Saccharomyces cerevisiae S288C: one gene and its partners. Changing the gene in region 3 together with the main gene of any one other region gives a genetic interaction. Each region holds a gene or a part of one and is shown on either strand. Other genes may lie near its edges.

The links.
Region 1: mutations in RVS167 (region 3) and GIM4 together harm fitness more than expected from each alone (negative genetic interaction), as found in Saccharomyces cerevisiae (6 studies listed by BioGRID, with this or other methods).
Region 2: mutations in RVS167 (region 3) and RUD3 together harm fitness more than expected from each alone (negative genetic interaction), as found in Saccharomyces cerevisiae (5 studies listed by BioGRID, with this or other methods).
Region 4: mutations in RVS167 (region 3) and MYO5 together harm fitness more than expected from each alone (negative genetic interaction), as found in Saccharomyces cerevisiae (6 studies listed by BioGRID, with this or other methods).

Annotation. Positions count from the first base shown.
Region 1 is NC_001137.3:146,275-149,099, forward strand, and holds GIM4 (tubulin-binding prefolding complex subunit GIM4), read left to right. Parts: upstream 1-1,901; coding exon 1,902-1,920; intron 1,921-2,008; coding exon 2,009-2,325; downstream 2,326-2,825. Other genes in the region: VAB2 (Vab2p), read right to left, coding at 1-481; YEA4 (Yea4p), read left to right, coding at 677-1,705; WBP1 (dolichyl-diphosphooligosaccharide-protein glycotransferase), read right to left, coding at 2,448-2,825. UniProt on the Saccharomyces cerevisiae protein: Binds specifically to cytosolic chaperonin (c-CPN) and transfers target proteins to it. Binds to nascent polypeptide chain and promotes folding in an environment in which there are many competing pathways for nonnative proteins.
Region 2 is NC_001147.6:746,714-751,408, forward strand, and holds RUD3 (Rud3p), read right to left. Parts: upstream 2,267-4,695; coding exon 812-2,266; downstream 1-811. Other genes in the region: AIM41 (Aim41p), read right to left, coding at 12-569; RFC1 (replication factor C subunit 1), read left to right, coding at 2,588-4,695. UniProt on the Saccharomyces cerevisiae protein: Involved in the structural organization of the cis-Golgi and in vesicle targeting/fusion stages of ER to Golgi transport.
Region 3 is NC_001136.10:1,247,967-1,252,616, forward strand, and holds RVS167 (amphiphysin), read left to right. Parts: upstream 1-2,219; coding exon 2,220-3,668; downstream 3,669-4,650. Other genes in the region: MUS81 (Mus81p), read left to right, coding at 1-16; CIN10 (Cin10p), read right to left, coding at 188-1,855; GTPase-activating protein SAC7, read left to right, coding at 4,571-4,650. UniProt on the Saccharomyces cerevisiae protein: Component of a cytoskeletal structure that is required for the formation of endocytic vesicles at the plasma membrane level.
Region 4 is NC_001145.3:485,027-491,565, reverse strand, and holds MYO5 (myosin 5), read right to left. Parts: upstream 4,980-6,539; coding exon 1,320-4,979; downstream 1-1,319. Other genes in the region: HFD1 (hexadecenal dehydrogenase), read left to right, coding at 1-1,172; ILV2 (acetolactate synthase catalytic subunit), read right to left, coding at 5,419-6,539. UniProt on the Saccharomyces cerevisiae protein: One of two redundant type-I myosins implicated in the organization of the actin cytoskeleton. Required for proper actin cytoskeleton polarization and for the internalization step in endocytosis.

The DNA of each region.
Region 1 (2,825 bases), on a different chromosome or scaffold from region 3:
TCAATAATTGTGCCTTCTTCGGGAGGTTTGCATTCAATGCGGTCAAATTGTTAACAATATCTGAAACAATATCATTGACACATGCGAGTTCTTCATTTAACGAGCCAATTTTTTTTTCCGCATTGGCCAATAGACGATCATTTCCATTGATACAATTAGTAGAAGCCCTTTGCTTTAAGACGTTTTTGTAACTATGTTCTACCTTTTTTAACGACTTTTTAAGTTGAAGTTCAATTTGCTGCATCTGATTGCGTTCCTCGTCAATGTCCCTACTTACAACTTCATAGATGGACAGAATGTCTTTTTTTACTTGTAATAACTCATACTTCGTGCTATTGAAGATAGCAGCCTGTGTTAATTTTTTATGGGATGCAAGGGGAGGTAAGCCCTTTAACTCTTCGTAATAGGAACTGCTTCCAACGGCATCAAATTCTATTCTTGATTTCCATTTCAGTATACCTTTAGTTAAGTCTGCTACCATGCTAGGCACTCTCTGCCTTTCTTATGGTTTGGTTACGCATACTCTTCCTTTATATATTCATTGTCATATTTTAAGGAAGCAATCGCTCCCGACGCAAAGTAAAAATATTCAGTGCTTTGCACTCCAGTTAGAAAAAATGAAGAGAATTCAATTGAGAATAAGCAGGGAAGTAATTGGATTGGGAGAATCTAAAAAATGTGGAACTCACTAAAAGCATTCGCTCTAGTGTTCGGAGGTTGTTGCTCCAATGTTATTACATTTGAAACCTTAATGAGCAACGAAACAGGCAGCATTAATAATCTCATTACTTTTTGTCAATTTTTATTTGTTACATGTCAGGGACTCCCCGAATTTCTGGATGTTCATCAACCTTTCCCTTACTTCAAGCCTCTGAAAACTCCACTTCACGTTTATGTCATTACTGTCGTTTTATTTTATATTTCATCTACGACGAATAATAACGTATTTAAATACAACATATCCATTCCGATTCATATCGTTTTCAGATGCTTCGGAACCGTAATAACCATGTTTACATGCTGGTTATTAAATGGTAGGAAATATACAAAGATTCAGATTTTATCAACACTATTTTTAACCATTGGAGCTATAATTGCCTCATTATTCAAAGATGCTGATTTTCGGTACCAAGATTTGAAACTGCAAGCGTGGAAAATTGGAAGTGACCAATCTGTAGATCTCACTTTTATTTTTGGCATTTGTATACTAGTACTTTCATCATTCACATCATCTTTACTTTCAGCATACAATGAACGTACGTATCAAAAATATGGAAAGCATTGGAAGGAGAATATCTTTTACAGTCATTTTTTATCATTACCTCTCTTTCTATTTAGTCGAAAGCAGTTAATTCACGAATATCGAGTGATGAGAAAGTCTGAAAGAATATTGTGTTCAAATTTTGGAGGGAAGATTCTAGTCCCGCGAGAAGAAACTCTCCTTCTTTTCAATGTGTTAACACAATATTTTTGCGTCAAGGGTGTTAATATCCTCGCCAGTAAAACAAACGCTCTGACACTTTCCATAACATTACTTGTAAGAAAATTTATAAGTCTTTTACTGAGCGTCCGACTTTTCGATAATAACTTGTCATATACTGGCTACATCGGGGTCTACCTAGTCTTTTTTGGTGCCTTTATATACTCGCTGGGATCAATTCACCCCAGGCAAAATGACAAGGGGGCGATAAAGAAAAGTAAATGAACACACATTATAAACTAACCTTAAATCCTACTTGTATGTTCCTTAACTCTATATTAGTGGTGTTGACGTAAGTTTAGATAAAATCGCGAACGCTGCCGCCTGGAAGTAAATGAAAAAAAAAAAAAAAAGAATTCATCACCTAAACTCACTAATCTTTAAAACTCATTCATGAGAAGTGGAGAACTATATTACAGCTATGGAACAAAGGAACAACGGTATGCAAAATTTCGATCTCTGGGTTTTAATAAATGCATGTAGCCAATTTTATCTTACTAACAATCTTTGTGTTTTCTCTGTGTATAGTCTTTCAAGCAAAATATAATGAATACAAACAAATTTTGGAAGAATTGCAAACAAAAATCATAGAATTAGGTCATGACAAAGATGAACACACTATAGTCATAAAAACACTGAAAGACGCTGAGCCGACGAGAAAATGTTACAGGATGATAGGTGGCGCACTTGTTGAAAGTGATGTTCAAACGAGTTTGCCTATTCTTGAAACTAAGAAGGAAAACATAGAAGGTACAATAAGTAAAATGAAAGAAACCTTAATACAAACTGCAAAAGAGTTTGAAAAATGGAAAAAAGACAATAAGATTCAAGTCGTTAAAAACTAAACCATATATAAAATCTATTGCAGTACTTAGTTTGGCAAAAAATATAAATAAACACAATCAGGTACTCTTATGTATTTATGTGAGCCATTTATAAAGAATTATAAAGGATATGAAAACATATATTAGTTTGTTTTTTTGAATGTTTCAAGTTTCTTGCCAACAGAGGAAGTCGTAACGAAAGAAACAACAAAAAATATCCACGCAACAATGACGCCACAAATGGCGCTAATATAAACCCAAGAATTGCTGATTTCCCAACTTCTTGGGTATTCATCATTAGCAAGGTGACGGATAGCTTTAACGTCTTTGTCAGTAGTGAACGACAGGCCAATCTTACGATAGTCAGTGAGGAATGTAAACACTCCATGGCGGTCTGGAAGGATGAATTCACCGGTGGTGTAATACTGAGTTTCAGAATCGTTTCCGCTTGGCGACAATGTTAGACGGTAGTACGGATCCACTTGTCTTAGTTCAAATTGGATATCATCAGCGATATGTGG
Region 2 (4,695 bases), on a different chromosome or scaffold from region 3:
AAACAAGGACCTCATTTGAAAATTTCCTTGAATTGCTTAACAATGCTATTTTTGATGGCAGTTGGAGATGTCTTCCATTCTGTTGGCAATGACTTCCAGTCGATTTCTCCCATGATTTCCTTAATTTGAACTTTTTTTTCACCTGCCTTTGTTTTGAGGGCGTCCAGTAATTTCTTCACATTTTGATCAATATCAAGCTCTGAAGACACTGGCAATTGGTCCATATATTTCTTTATAATGTCCATTTCACCTTGCTCTTTGGCCACCAGATCGTCCCTCTTGTTAGCAAGGAACTCATTGATCGAGTCCTTTCTTTGAGATATTAACTTGGAGTACATGTCGTACAGGGAGTACTCATCAGCGCTCTTCCCTTTTAAAGCAATTTCTTTGTTTTTTATGGCAGATAACATATTTCTGATTGCTGTCTTCTTCATCTCATCCTTGGCAATCATAGCCTTTTTCAAATCTCCTTTCAATAGGCTGACTGCAGCCGTGTAGGCTGGAGAACTGTTATAACGAATGAAGGTTAGTCTATTTGAAACAAGTGGCCTAATTGATTGTCTGAACATCTTGGAATAGTGTTATTTGCTGTATTCCCCAACTTTATCCCAAAGTCTTTTTTCTCCAGTTCATTACTTCTGTAAAAAATGTTGCAGATCCTTTTTCTTCCCTTTAATTTTGAGTCCTTCCCCCCGAAAAGTCCCAGATGCCGGGTAGATGTGATTTATATCATTTATCGTTTATAGAGTATAAATTGGGTGATGCTACACTAAGTACGTATGCTCTTCTGAACTAGACTTAGTTTGCCCGATTAGTCTTTCTCACTCTCTTTCTCGAGGTAGTTGGTCCAAAGCGATACAAAGCTTTCCGTTCTCGATACAGCGCTTGAATTCTTAGACTCATTATTCGAGATCAAGCCGGCCTGTTGTTTCTTATCTTCATCCCAGTTTAAGAAATTGGACAGTAATTCAAGAACTTCAAACTTTCTTGGGTCTGCTCTGGGTATGGACACGAAAGATATCAATAGATTGGATATCAGTTCTTTATCAACGGATTCAGAATCGCTTGATTTCTTCAACATGGCCAGTGCCTTTGTTAAATGCTCATTTAGTATAATGGCTTCGTGACGTAGTTTTCCGATCTGTAAGATGTGCTGCTTAGATTCTTCCTCATATTTTTCCTTCATAGAGGCGTCCTCCTTCATGGCTTCTAGCTGTTTTTTCATGCTTTCTAAAGCTTCTGTGTCATTGTTGTGCGTTTCTATCTCCGTGTCAAGTTGGGATCGTAAAGATTTGACTTCCTGGTCTCTCTCTCTAGCCTCTTCTTCCCTTTTGTTGTCAACTTCTTCTATCTTCAATTCCAGATCATTTAGAGAATTCTTTAATACTGCTTTCTCCTTTTCATGGGATTCCAAAGCCTGTCTCAATTCATCTCTTTCTGTTCTCAAGTCAGATATATCTTGTTTATTATTTTCTAAGATTATCATGAGTTCCTGAACTTGGAGATTTAATTGATCTTTTTCCTTCCTGTAAGTGTTAAGTTCCTTACTATGTTTTTCAATTATGTCGTGTTTTTCATCTTCCAAAGCTTCTATCCTTGATTCGTATTCCAAAAAAACCTCTTCTGTACTTTCTTGCTCCTTTTCTAGGTTTTCTAACTCTGTATTTAGGGTCACAATCGTGGATTGTAATTCAGAGTTTTCGGTCTTGGTAGCTTCAAGTTTCTTCTTCAATTTCAGATTTTGTGATTCATATTCAGTAAGCTGCTCCTGCACTTCCTCTAATTGTTTTTGTGCTTCTTTCATCTTATTAAAAATTGATTTCATAGAAGATATCTTGCTCAATAATGTGTCATACTGTGTTTTGAATTCGTCTCTTTCCTTAATAACATTTGCTAGTTCATTTTTGAAGTCTTCATTAGGCGTTTCTTGATCCTTCTTGTGGCTTAGTTCCAATTTTAAACGTTCAATTTCTTCCCTTAGTTCCTTCATCTCATCACCAGCCTTTTTGTCCTCTAAAGGATTTATGGTGTCTACAGTCAGGCCGTCATTTACTTTTTGTTTGTCTACTCCTTCAGAGAGATCTTTCCCCTCATCGTCCGGGCTTGCCACGATACCATCAGCCTCTGGATCTGTGGACATTTTTGGAGGAACGGTGACGTTTACAGAATTGATGATTTCTTCAGGTTTATTGACGGTTTCATCAACGTCCTCCACATGAGGATGACTCTTGGCCTTCTTACCTGTTTTCTTCTTATTTTTACCCATTCTAATTAAAAAAAATGCAATTGTTTGAGGGGATCAAGTGGAAAGTATACACAAGCATCTACTATATAGCTGTTTATACAAGATTTTCTTGTTCTTCATGAATGGTCTTTCTGTTTGTTTCCATTTTTCGTATCGAAATGAGCACGAAATTCAAAAAGAAGTACTGAAAAAAAAATCAACATGAGAAGGAACAGCCGATCTCTCAGCGAAAACAGTGGCTTCGTTGAATACGCTGCTTGATCCTTACACAATAAGGAATTGGGTATCTCGCAGTTAATTTTATAACTTCAAGTCACTTCATAATAAACTAAGCTGAAGAAAATGGTCAATATTTCTGATTTCTTTGGTAAAAATAAGAAATCCGTAAGATCGTCAACATCCAGACCTACGAGACAGGTGGGTTCGTCTAAACCAGAAGTTATCGACTTAGATACTGAATCTGACCAAGAATCAACCAATAAAACACCAAAGAAGATGCCTGTAAGTAATGTAATTGATGTATCAGAGACACCTGAAGGAGAAAAAAAGCTACCTCTTCCCGCTAAGAGGAAGGCCTCTTCACCAACTGTAAAGCCAGCAAGTTCAAAAAAAACCAAACCCTCCTCTAAAAGTTCAGACTCGGCTTCGAATATTACGGCTCAAGATGTACTAGATAAGATTCCATCCTTGGATCTGTCAAATGTTCATGTGAAAGAGAATGCTAAATTTGATTTCAAAAGCGCAAATTCAAATGCGGATCCAGATGAAATTGTTTCTGAAATAGGTAGTTTTCCAGAAGGAAAGCCAAATTGTTTATTAGGTCTAACAATTGTCTTCACAGGTGTTCTGCCAACCTTGGAGCGTGGTGCATCGGAAGCTTTAGCGAAAAGATACGGAGCAAGGGTTACTAAATCAATTTCAAGCAAAACTTCTGTAGTAGTCTTAGGTGATGAAGCAGGGCCAAAGAAACTAGAAAAAATCAAGCAATTGAAAATCAAAGCCATAGACGAAGAAGGCTTTAAGCAATTAATTGCTGGGATGCCTGCTGAAGGTGGTGACGGGGAAGCTGCCGAAAAAGCACGTCGAAAATTAGAAGAACAGCATAATATTGCTACCAAAGAAGCAGAATTGCTTGTTAAGAAAGAAGAGGAAAGGTCGAAGAAGCTTGCAGCCACTAGAGTTTCTGGTGGCCATCTGGAGAGAGACAATGTGGTTAGGGAAGAAGATAAATTGTGGACAGTAAAGTACGCACCAACGAATCTACAACAGGTCTGTGGTAACAAAGGAAGTGTAATGAAATTAAAAAACTGGTTGGCTAATTGGGAAAATTCAAAGAAAAATAGTTTTAAACATGCTGGTAAAGATGGCTCTGGTGTTTTCAGGGCTGCAATGTTATACGGTCCTCCTGGTATTGGGAAGACAACTGCTGCTCATTTAGTTGCACAAGAGCTTGGGTATGACATTCTTGAACAAAACGCTTCTGATGTTCGCTCTAAAACTTTACTTAATGCCGGTGTTAAAAACGCTCTTGATAACATGTCTGTAGTGGGATATTTCAAACACAACGAAGAAGCTCAAAATTTGAACGGGAAACATTTTGTCATTATCATGGATGAAGTTGATGGTATGAGCGGAGGCGATAGGGGGGGAGTTGGCCAGCTGGCACAGTTTTGTCGTAAGACGTCAACTCCATTGATTCTAATTTGTAATGAACGTAATTTACCAAAAATGAGACCATTCGATAGAGTATGTCTTGATATCCAATTTAGAAGACCTGATGCTAACAGTATCAAATCAAGATTAATGACAATTGCGATCAGAGAAAAGTTCAAACTTGATCCAAATGTCATTGATAGGTTGATACAGACTACAAGAGGTGATATCCGCCAGGTTATTAATCTACTTTCAACGATATCTACGACTACTAAAACCATAAACCATGAAAATATCAACGAGATCTCAAAGGCATGGGAAAAGAATATTGCCCTAAAACCCTTTGACATTGCCCATAAAATGTTGGATGGACAAATATACTCAGACATAGGTTCAAGGAACTTTACACTGAATGATAAGATCGCATTATATTTTGATGACTTTGATTTCACACCCCTAATGATTCAGGAAAACTATTTATCTACAAGACCAAGCGTTTTGAAACCCGGCCAGTCACATTTGGAAGCAGTTGCTGAGGCGGCTAACTGTATTTCATTAGGTGATATTGTCGAAAAGAAGATTCGTAGTAGTGAGCAATTATGGAGTCTTTTGCCTTTGCATGCTGTTCTTTCATCTGTTTATCCAGCATCAAAAGTTGCCGGCCATATGGCGGGAAGAATCAATTTCACAGCTTGGTTGGGCCAAAATTCTAAATCTGCCAAATATTATAGGTTACTGCAAGAGATACATTATCATACAAGACTAGGTACATCTACTGATAAAATTGGACTAAGGCT
Region 3 (4,650 bases):
TTTTGGTAAACTTTAGCAATTTGAAATATAGTCATCCCTGCAAGGTTTTATAAAGAAAAAAGTGATGATATTCTTTTAACTAATATATACATATATAAGAAAAGAAGCCTTAATTTCTCACGGACAAATATACCAGAAGCATATCTGAAAGCCGCCCCAATGCATTATGATGCCACTTGACAACTCATCAATGGTAGGTACGAAAGACATAATGAACATCAATTCCATTATCAAAAACCCTTCCAACCTCTTCCAGTGACAAACCTTTGACTTCTGGATACCAAAAATATACGAAAAACCAGGCACAAACTGTGAAAAAAGCAAAAATGAGCATTGTATTTTCATCACCAATGGTGTTAATAGTGCTCAGATATGTCATTGAAACAAATGCATTGGTCAACCAATTTGTGCAGGCTATACATGATGCCCCAAATGATCTCCTGTTCAAGGGGAGAAATTCCACACAGGTCCATGGAACGCTGCCCATCGCAGAAGCATATGCTGCAACATAAATTACAACAGAAATTAAAAGTAAATTGACTTGGTCATGACCGAAACCTACACTGCAAAGAAGTAACCCAACAGTCATAATCAAAATTGTTCTCAAAAGAATGGCTCTTCTTCCCAAAGAGTCCATGGTGTACATGGCGAAAAAAGTGAATATGAAGTTCGTTGAGGCAATCAAAATTGGAGGCAGTAGAGGGTTTTTTATATTAAATTTGGAAAATATTATTGCCGCATAGTACATAAAAGCATTAAAGCCAGTGATTTGCTGGAAAAACATTAACATGCAACCTACTATTAACGCTCTTATTGTGCGTGGCTCCATTCTGTGTCTTTTCTTTTTGTTAGATGCCAGGGCACCGTTTGGAGCTGGGCCTCGCAACGCCGATAGATATGCTGATGAGGAGGACATTGTGTTGCTAGTTCTTTCTGTGTTCGAGGAAAGTCTTTTAATGTTAGGTGGGCTAAGAGTTCCTGAGGTTGAACTATCCATGTATCGAATAACCGATTGGGACTGTACTAGTAAAGGTTCACTTGCATCTTCGTATAGTCGTAACTTATCGAGTTCAATTATCAGCTGCTTAATTTTACTATTCACATGATATGTAGATGCAGTAGGATATAGCATTCTTAGAGAATCCCTGGTATATAGAATGTCTCCCTTGGAAATGGACCATCGTGGCGATTCAGGGATAAAATCCAGTATTGAAAGGAACAGAATAGCTGGAATAGCAGAAAGTGCGAACAAATATCTCCATGAATTATCAATCTCTTTCATAAGGGACGCAATCACATAGGAAACCAATTGACCTCCAGTGATGGCAATAATGTTCAATGTCAACATAAAACCCCTGATTCTGGAAGGTGAAATTTCACTCAGAAATAGAGGGACGCACTGGGCAGACACTCCAACAGCGATCCCAACCAGCAATCTCCCACAAATCAAAAACGTCAATGTTCTTGCTATAGCCATTCCAATTGCAGCTAGGATAAAAATTGAACAGCAGATTGCGAGAGTAATTCTTCTTCCATACCTATCTGCTAAAGGAAATGCCAGAATAGAGCCAAAAAATGATCCGACGCTTGTACTGGAAGTTATCAGCTCCTTCTGAACATCCGTTAAAACTACCAAAGATAGATCTTCGGGCTTTAAAGAAAGCAGAACACCTGATATAACACCAGTATCATAGCCGAATAAAAGCCCACCAATGGTAGCACCAACGAAGATTAACGACGTTTTGAACGTTAAAGCATATGGGAGTTGCTCGATGTCATTGGCAGTATTGGATGTTACCTGGGAGATAATGGAATACAGATCAGAATAAACGTCTTCACTTTCATCTGTAGACATACCTCTATCAAGTTTTGACTTTCCTGTCGCTTGCCTGTACGCTTTTGTTTTCTACTGAGAAAAGATACTTTTTGACCATGGACTATAAGTGCACGCTACAGTTGCACATATAAGGTTGTATATAGTTCAAGAAGTTCCTTTCGTATGGAAATTTTGTTATGTATACCTTCCAGTTGCTATGGTAGTCTACCTGACTAAATTATCAATCCGACCGATGTTCGGATGTTGCGATAATATTGGTACCGGAAAAAAAAAAGGAGAGGGCTTTGTAGTGTCGATGTTTAACAACCTGTTTTAAGGAATAAAGTAAAGTGAGGCTCACCTGGTCATTTAACACCAAGAATCAAGGAGCCAATAAGTGCACATGAGTTTTAAAGGGTTTACCAAGGCTGTTAGTAGGGCTCCTCAGTCCTTCCGTCAAAAGTTCAAGATGGGTGAGCAGACAGAGGATCCTGTTTACGAGGATGCAGAACGTCGTTTTCAAGAATTGGAGCAGGAGACAAAAAAATTAAGTGAGGAATCGAAGAGATACTCGACTGCGGTGAATGGAATGCTGACACACCAAATTGGATTTGCCAAATCCATGGAGGAAATTTTCAAACCTATCAGTGGTAAAATGAGTGACCCTAACGCTACCATACCAGAGGACAACCCACAAGGTATTGAAGCAAGTGAACAGTATAGGGCAATTGTCGCAGAATTACAGGAAACATTGAAACCGGATCTGGCTTTGGTGGAAGAAAAAATTGTTACGCCATGCCAGGAACTGTTGAAGATTATTACTTATATTCGTAAAATGGCCACCAAGAGAAATCACAAAAAATTAGATTTAGATAGACATCTAAACACTTATAACAAGCATGAAAAGAAGAAGGAACCAACCGCCAAAGACGAAGAAAGATTGTATAAAGCACAAGCTCAAGTGGAAGTGGCTCAACAAGAATATGATTACTATAACGACTTGCTAAAGACTCAATTACCAATACTGTTCAGTTTGGAAGCTGAATTTGTGAAACCATTATTTGTCTCATTTTATTTCATGCAATTGAACATTTTTTACACTTTGTATAATAGACTTCAAGACATGAAGATTCCATATTTTGATTTGAACAGTGACATTGTAGAGTCGTACATTGCCAAGAAAGGCAATGTGGAAGAACAAACGGACGCCTTGACTATTACACACTTTAAACTCGGTTACTCTAAGGCAAAATTGGAGATGACCAGAAGGAAGTATGGTGTAGCAACCGCCGAAGGCTCACCCGTCAGTGGCGCATCAAGCGGTGTCGGATATGGTGCTGGGTATGATCCAGCAACTGCCACTTCTCCAACCCCTACAGGATACGGTTATGGTGCCGCAGCACCAAGTTACGCCGCTCAACCTGCTGCCCAGTATGGTACTGCTGCCGCCGTTGGTACTGCTGCTGCTGTTGGTACTGCTGCTGGTGCTGCTGCTGGCGCTGTTCCGGGTACTTATCCACAGTATGCTGCTGCGCAATCTCCACCGCTCACTGGGCTAGGCTTCCAACAATCACCACAGCAGCAACAGGGACCACCACCGGCCTACTCTAATCCTCTAACATCACCTGTTGCGGGCACACCAGCCGCGGCCGTAGCGGCAGCTCCTGGCGTTGAAACTGTTACCGCATTGTATGACTACCAAGCTCAAGCTGCTGGTGATTTGTCTTTCCCTGCCGGCGCAGTTATAGAAATTGTCCAGCGTACTCCGGACGTGAACGAATGGTGGACAGGAAGATACAATGGCCAGCAAGGTGTGTTTCCTGGGAACTACGTGCAACTCAACAAGAACTAGAGGAGGCCCCTGCATCCCTCTGTATTCATTACCTTCTATTGTGAGATGTTACCATTACCTTTTTCTTTTATTGTAATGTTTCTTAATTTAAATACTATATAGGGTAATTCATCCTTCCACCAACAAAGTATCGTTTGAGTCTATCTATTACGGGCATGCGGCGAGCATATTACCCTACTGACAATATCCCAAAAGGGAAGGAGCGCGTTCCCAATAGGGCTGCCACCTTCCCAATATGGTACAAAGCCTACCATATGGGGAAATCAGTTTTCTCGCTCACCTCGCCTAGTCTTCCTAAAACGACGTTCCTCAGTCTCCTTTCTCTTTTATAAAACACCATCTCTGTCTTGTCGATGACACAGCCCAGTTGGGAAACCGGTGCTGACAAACAGGAAAAAAGCAAGACTAGTGGCCTGGCGCGGAAGAAACTGAGCTACATTGCACAACATCTTCAAGCAGGGTGTACGCATTCATTACTTTAATACTAAATTTAGAAGAAATCATCCTTTTTACTCGCGAAACTGTTAGGCTTGATCGGACGATCTCAGAAGAGGAAAAACAAATTGATAAAGTCTTCGTTAGGTTTCCTAGAATAGCAGGCCCGTTACAAAAAATTTTTTTACCCATTCCACTGGTTTTATTCACTAGTGACTTGAAAACTCCACATATTTTTGATCTCTTAAGCTTTCACGCATCACAAAGTTATCAGAACAAATTTTCTCCAGAAAGTTATATTGCAGTGTTCAAAAAGCCGTTCTCATTTCACAGCAATTTTTTTCTAAAGTAGAGGGGCAGAGAAATTAGCCTTCACAAGTTTGCTTTCGAGCTTCCAATTTGATTCCTGCTTTGGTCTTACTTTCATCCTCTCAATACCACTAAGATAAACTAAAAATATCTTTATAATGCCAAATAATACTCTTAAACAAGGCTCCAAAATTGAAAATGTTTCTCCCTCTAAAGGTCATGTCCCAAGTTTTTGGAA
Region 4 (6,539 bases), on a different chromosome or scaffold from region 3:
TTTTAGCATTTGCCCCATTGGCAGCAGCTCTTGCTGCAGGTAACACCATTGTTCTGAAGCCAAGTGAACTAACACCACACACTGCTGTAGTTATGGAAAATTTGTTAACCACAGCTGGTTTCCCTGATGGATTGATTCAAGTAGTTCAGGGAGCTATAGATGAAACTACAAGACTACTAGATTGTGGAAAATTTGACCTAATATTCTACACAGGTTCTCCCCGTGTCGGATCAATAGTTGCTGAGAAAGCAGCAAAAAGTCTAACACCTTGTGTACTTGAACTTGGTGGTAAATCACCTACCTTTATTACAGAAAATTTCAAAGCAAGTAACATAAAAATTGCTTTGAAAAGGATTTTTTTTGGTGCTTTCGGAAATTCTGGCCAGATTTGTGTTTCACCAGATTATTTGTTAGTACATAAATCTATCTATCCAAAAGTCATTAAAGAGTGTGAATCAGTACTAAATGAATTTTATCCAAGCTTTGATGAACAAACAGATTTCACTCGTATGATTCATGAGCCTGCTTACAAAAAGGCCGTTGCAAGTATAAACTCAACTAACGGCTCCAAGATTGTGCCTTCAAAAATTTCTATCAATTCAGATACTGAGGATCTATGCCTTGTACCACCAACCATAGTTTATAACATTGGTTGGGATGATCCTTTGATGAAACAGGAAAACTTTGCTCCTGTATTGCCCATCATTGAGTACGAGGATCTTGATGAGACCATTAACAAGATAATAGAAGAACATGACACTCCATTGGTGCAATACATATTCTCTGATAGCCAAACTGAAATAAATCGTATCTTGACGCGCTTAAGATCTGGTGACTGTGTTGTCGGTGATACAGTGATTCATGTAGGAATTACCGACGCTCCATTTGGAGGGATCGGTACTTCAGGTTATGGTAACTATGGTGGATATTATGGATTCAATACCTTTAGTCATGAAAGAACAATTTTTAAACAACCATATTGGAATGATTTTACCCTTTTTATGAGATACCCTCCAAATAGCGCACAAAAGGAAAAGCTCGTCCGTTTTGCGATGGAAAGAAAACCTTGGTTTGACAGAAATGGCAATAACAAGTGGGGGTTACGCCAATATTTTTCATTATCTGCCGCCGTTATTTTAATTAGTACCATTTACGCTCATTGTTCTTCCTGAACGTAATGTTTAAGGTTAATTAATTATTTGATGTATAAGTAACCTTTCGTTTAAAAATTTCATATGGGCGATAATATATCAATATTTATTAATTACAATTTACTCTATTTGCTCGTATAGAGTATATACTCGCTAAATACATTTTGATTACCAATCATCTTCCTCTTCATCTTCGTTAGCCTCCTCGTCATCACTCTCTAATCTCATTTTATTGGCCCTAGCAGCAAGCGCATTCGCCAAACCATCACCCAAACTTGCTTGGGCTGCAGCTGGAATAACGTTTGCAGAGGTGTTATCATGTTGTACAGAATTCAGAACGGGTTTAGGAACATCCCTGTTTTGAGGAGGAGTAGGGATATTATTATTTCCGGAATGTGGTTTCATGTAAGCTGTTGGCACCCAACCTTCCTTAGAGCCATCCAGAAGTTTCCCGAGAGACCAACCGCTTGGTTCTTCTCTTGTAATGTAAATTACGTCTCCTTTCTTTAAAGGTAACTCAGATGGTGATCCTGAACCAGGAAAATCGTAAGCCGCTTCAAACATGGGTTCTTTTGGCTTTGAAGAGGGTGGGGGTGGAGGAGGTGGTGGAGGGATATTTGCCTGTCTACCAGAGCCCATTGCGGCAGCAGCGGGTGTAGCAGCGGGTGTAGCACGAGTGGCAGCAGTAGGGGGAGAAGGACGGGCATTACTTTGGGATGCAGTGAGAGTGGAAGCAGGATTAGGAACAGATCTTCTTGTAGCAGCTTTGTTCTGCATTCCTGGTGGTGGAGGGGCAGGCTTTTTAGAATGCCTAGAAGCCGGGGCGGTGGGAACATGCTGGGCTGCAGCAATCGAAACTGGCCTCCTCGTTGCTTGCGAGGAACTAGCATGATATCCTGAAGAGATTGAACTCTTTTTTCTCGGTTTTTTGTGCACTTGAGAATTAGGTGGGTTACCACGACGAACTGATATTGTACTGGATTTATATATGTCGCCATATTTTGGTGCAGATTCATTGATTTGACATTTCACTGAATGCAACTTTCCAGGTTTCTTTTGGTACTCTATCGCCGAGCCTATTTTAATTTGAATTTTGTCGTTAAGCCTTTTCAGATGCGTTATGAGTTCTGTTTTGAAATATGTGTTGATTAAGGGGTCAGGTTGACCTGAGCTAGCCAACTTAATGGCGACCCAATCATCCTGTAAATTGGTTAAACTAACCGCTTGAATGTTTCGCACATCGATTTTATAATCCTGAGTATAGGTCATAGCATTTTGGACCAAAGTCTGACCAACAATGTACAATGTAGTTGGAGTTAATAGGAAAGTTTTTTTCAATCTTTGTGCAGAACGGCCAAATTTTGTATGCAAGGCCTCACCATGTATGGAAAAGATGACCTTCTCTTTAATGCTCACTTGTCTTTTGATATAAGCGCCCTTCGATTTGGACTCGTTGCATGATAGATAATCACCCATGAAGGCTCTGTAACCTAATAAGGACATAGACCTTCTTTCTTTTCTTCCACCCAAAACCTTCGTACCATAATCCCGGAGCTTCTCATACTTATTACCTTCCTTCCTCTCCCTGATGGTGCGCTGGATCTTAGTGGCCGCATCAATTCTTCTTTGCAAAAATCTCCTCCAAGCACGTTGGATTCTGGCAGCCATATTGTGCCAGTATCTATCTCTCATATGCTCCAAAGCAAATAATGTTTCAGGTGTTTTGATGAAAACACTTGTGACACCCAATTGGTACTCCTGCTGTGGGATAGAGGAATCTTGCAATATATACTTAACAGCATCTAAGGTATCACCTTGCCATGTATAGTCACCAGCGTAAGAACAGTGTGGAGATAATAAATAAAATCTTTCCACGAACTTCTCAAACACTTGTCTATATGCAAAACCTGCTCTTCTGATACGCACGTTTTCTTGCAGACCTAGATACTTAATCTGGTGTAGAACTTGCCGATCGTCATAATCGTTAGGAGATTTGGTTTCGTTTGGTTTAATTGTTCTGATATATGAAGGTTGTGCTTTTGATAAAGTTTCAACCAAATCATTTGCACTCTTTATAATTTTGTCGCCTGCTGTAGGTGGCCTTCTTTTTGATTCTCTGTCTACAGTATCCGGGAAAATGGTGGCTAAAAATGTATTGGTAGTGGTACCAATTAATTCTACCAGATCCTTTTGTAATTGATCCTTATTTTTATCTGTAATACCGTCAATATCGTATGTGACATCACCGGCATAATGCTTAATAACAAACTTGTTAGATCTCAAGTCAAAATGTGGATTTGTTGTGAACAAGTTCAAACGCTGAGCAAAAGCCTGATCAGCAGCATTTGAATCCGCGTGTGCAGTTGCAACAGAATCATTCATTGCTGCAAATATACCAGGTGGTCTTCTTGCCTCAATCAAATCACACACAACCTTGTTATCAAAGTATTTAATTGGGGTCCATTGGATTTTTTCTCTCTCGTAAGTTTCTTGCTCAGATTTCAATGTCAATTGAATAAAGATTTGTTGTAACTTTTCATTAACATAATTGATACAAATCTGCTCAAAAGAGTTATGTTCAAAAATTTCAAAGCCGTAAATATCAAGAATACCAATGGATTTTTCAGCGCCTGGAAAAGCCTGCAGAGATTTGTTAACCCTACTCACAATCCAGTCAAATAAGTTATTGTAAATAGCCTTTGCCAAAGCATCTCTAACCGCATCTGCTTGGACAATATTCAATGGAACATGATACACTGACCCTCTTTTCATACCATGATTGGTTTCCATAATTCTTTCCACAAGTGATTTAATCAGCAATTGGCTATCTATTTGTAACAAGTAAGCAACAAAATCGGTTACTGAGGTGTCCCTAACTTGCGCATTCCCCTCCTCATTTTCTATAAAGGAAACATTACCAATCCAAAGAATTGCAGCTAACATCCTGAAAATTTGGTCTTGTTCTTCTTGACCGAGACCAATAACTCTCATAGCTTTTAATGTCTCTTGATAATCTTGCAAATCATCAATTGTCTCAGCAGATATGCAACCCGCAGCAGCTGTGTACACATATTGTTCCGGTTTTTGGACCCCAAATGTTTGCCTATAAGCATCGGAAGCACCTTTCGTGAACTGATAGAATATATGGAAATTTCTTTCATTCTTAATTTGACTCACAACTCTCTGCTTCTCCAATAAATAGTTTGTGATATTACCAGCACATGGTTCAAACTGGTTATTGAATTTTATTTCTAGATATTTCCCATGTCTAGAAGAGTTGTTATTTCTTAGAGTCTTTGCACAGCCAAAAGATTCCAACAATGGATTAGTGGCTAAAACCATGTCTTTAATCTTTCCAATTGACTCCGTATGTGTGCTAGAAGCAGCCGCAATATATTGCATAATTCTTTTAGCTGCTTCAGTTTTACCGGCACCTGATTCACCTGAAATAATAACACACTGATTTTCATTATATGATTTCATGTTGTAGTACATAGACTCTGCAATTGCAAATACATGGGGTGGAACTTCCAATCTATTCTTACCTTTGTATTCATTCATAACAGCATCAGTATAGATTCCGAGGTCTCGGAATGGATTGACACTAATTAACACATGACCTATATAAGTGTAGATTGTAGCATTCAAAAATCTCTTCTTCAAGTTTTCATTTATGGCTTCGTCGGAGATTTTAGAAAGAAGCGTCAGATCAGACACACCAACTTCTTTCTTCTTCGAGGAATCAAAAGTAGCTTTCTTGATATTCGCAGAGCGTTTAGCTGGCTCCTGATGTACCTTTTTTCTAGCTCCTCTTTTTAAGATAGCCATTTCTATAAAGCGGTTAAATTCGTATTGGCCACTGTTCTTATGCTTTATTATAAACTATAACCTTTAAATACATAGTCCAGTTTGTATTTTCCAAGCTTGCAATTTTTGACGGCCCCTTTTCGAGAAATATTTTTGATGATTGACAAAACGAGAAAGAAGTCGTGTCCGACGAGTTAAAACACACCATTTGAATACATATGCTACGTATCCACTTTAGATTTATCAAATACTACCAACTCACTTGAATTGAACTTATTATTCATCTATGACTTAATTTTAGCCGTCATTAGTTTTTTAGAAAAAAATATATAAAGTATATACGAAAAAAATATACATGACTACCGATTTGGTAGAATGTCATATATAAGAAGCACGATTAAATAATAATAAAGTCTGCATTTTTTACTGAAAATGCTTTTGAAATAAATGTTTTTGAAATTCAGTGCTTACCGCCTGTACGCTTATGACGTAATTCAGTCTGTTGTCTTTCAACTTCTGGGTCAAAATTTATGAACTCGTCTAGACCGCTACCACCTGCCACCATTGGCAAAACAGGAACTTTTTTATCAACTTCCACTTCAAGCAAAACTGGGCCCTTGGTAGAAACGAATTCTTTCAACTTAGCGTCCAATTCCTCTTGCTTCTTGACTCTTAAACCTTTTAAACCCATAGCCTCCGCTAGTTTTATGAAATCAGGGTTCAATTGATGTGTGTGGGAATAACGATGTTCGTAGAACAGGGATTGCCATTGAGTAACCATACCTTGCTCTTCATTGTTCAAAATCAAAATCTTCACTGGAGTACCAGCTTGAACGGCAGAACTCAATTCCGTTAGAGTCATGTTAAAGGATGCGTCACCATCAATGTCAATAACCAAAGATTCTGGCTTTGCAACTTGAGCACCGATGGCGGCAGGGAGACCGTAACCCATCGTACCTAAACCACCTGATGTGATGAAAGTATGTGGATTTCTCCATGTCCAGTGTTGAGCAGCCCACATTTGATGTTGCCCCACACCCGTTGTAACAATGACATGTCTTCCTGTGTCGTTGGCAACCTTGGATAGTTTCTTTATAACCGTCTGTGGTTTAATTTTAGATCCTGGAGTCTCCTCCATATAAGCGTATGGGTATTCCTTCTTCCATTTATTTATTTGAGCAAACCATTCAGACCTCTCCTTAACTGGGAAAATCTTTGACATCATTTTGCCCAGATTGGTCGTAGCATCACCTTCCACTGCTATTTGAGTTTGAACAACCTTGTTTATGTTTTTTGGACTAACCTCGAAATGAATAATACCACCTCTACCCTCGGCAGCTGCACGACGAGCTTCTGGAGCGAATTTAGAAATATTACCAGTGACACGGTCGTCGAATCTAGCACCAACTGCAATTATCAAGTCGGCATTTTGCACTGCCAGGTTGGCAGTAGCACAACCGTGCATACCAAGCATATCCAATGATTTTGGATCTTCTTGGTCGAATGAACCTAAACCTTGTAAAGTAGTGGTGACAGGTATTTGAGCACGGTCACTTAATTCTTTTAGTAATCTTGGACCAT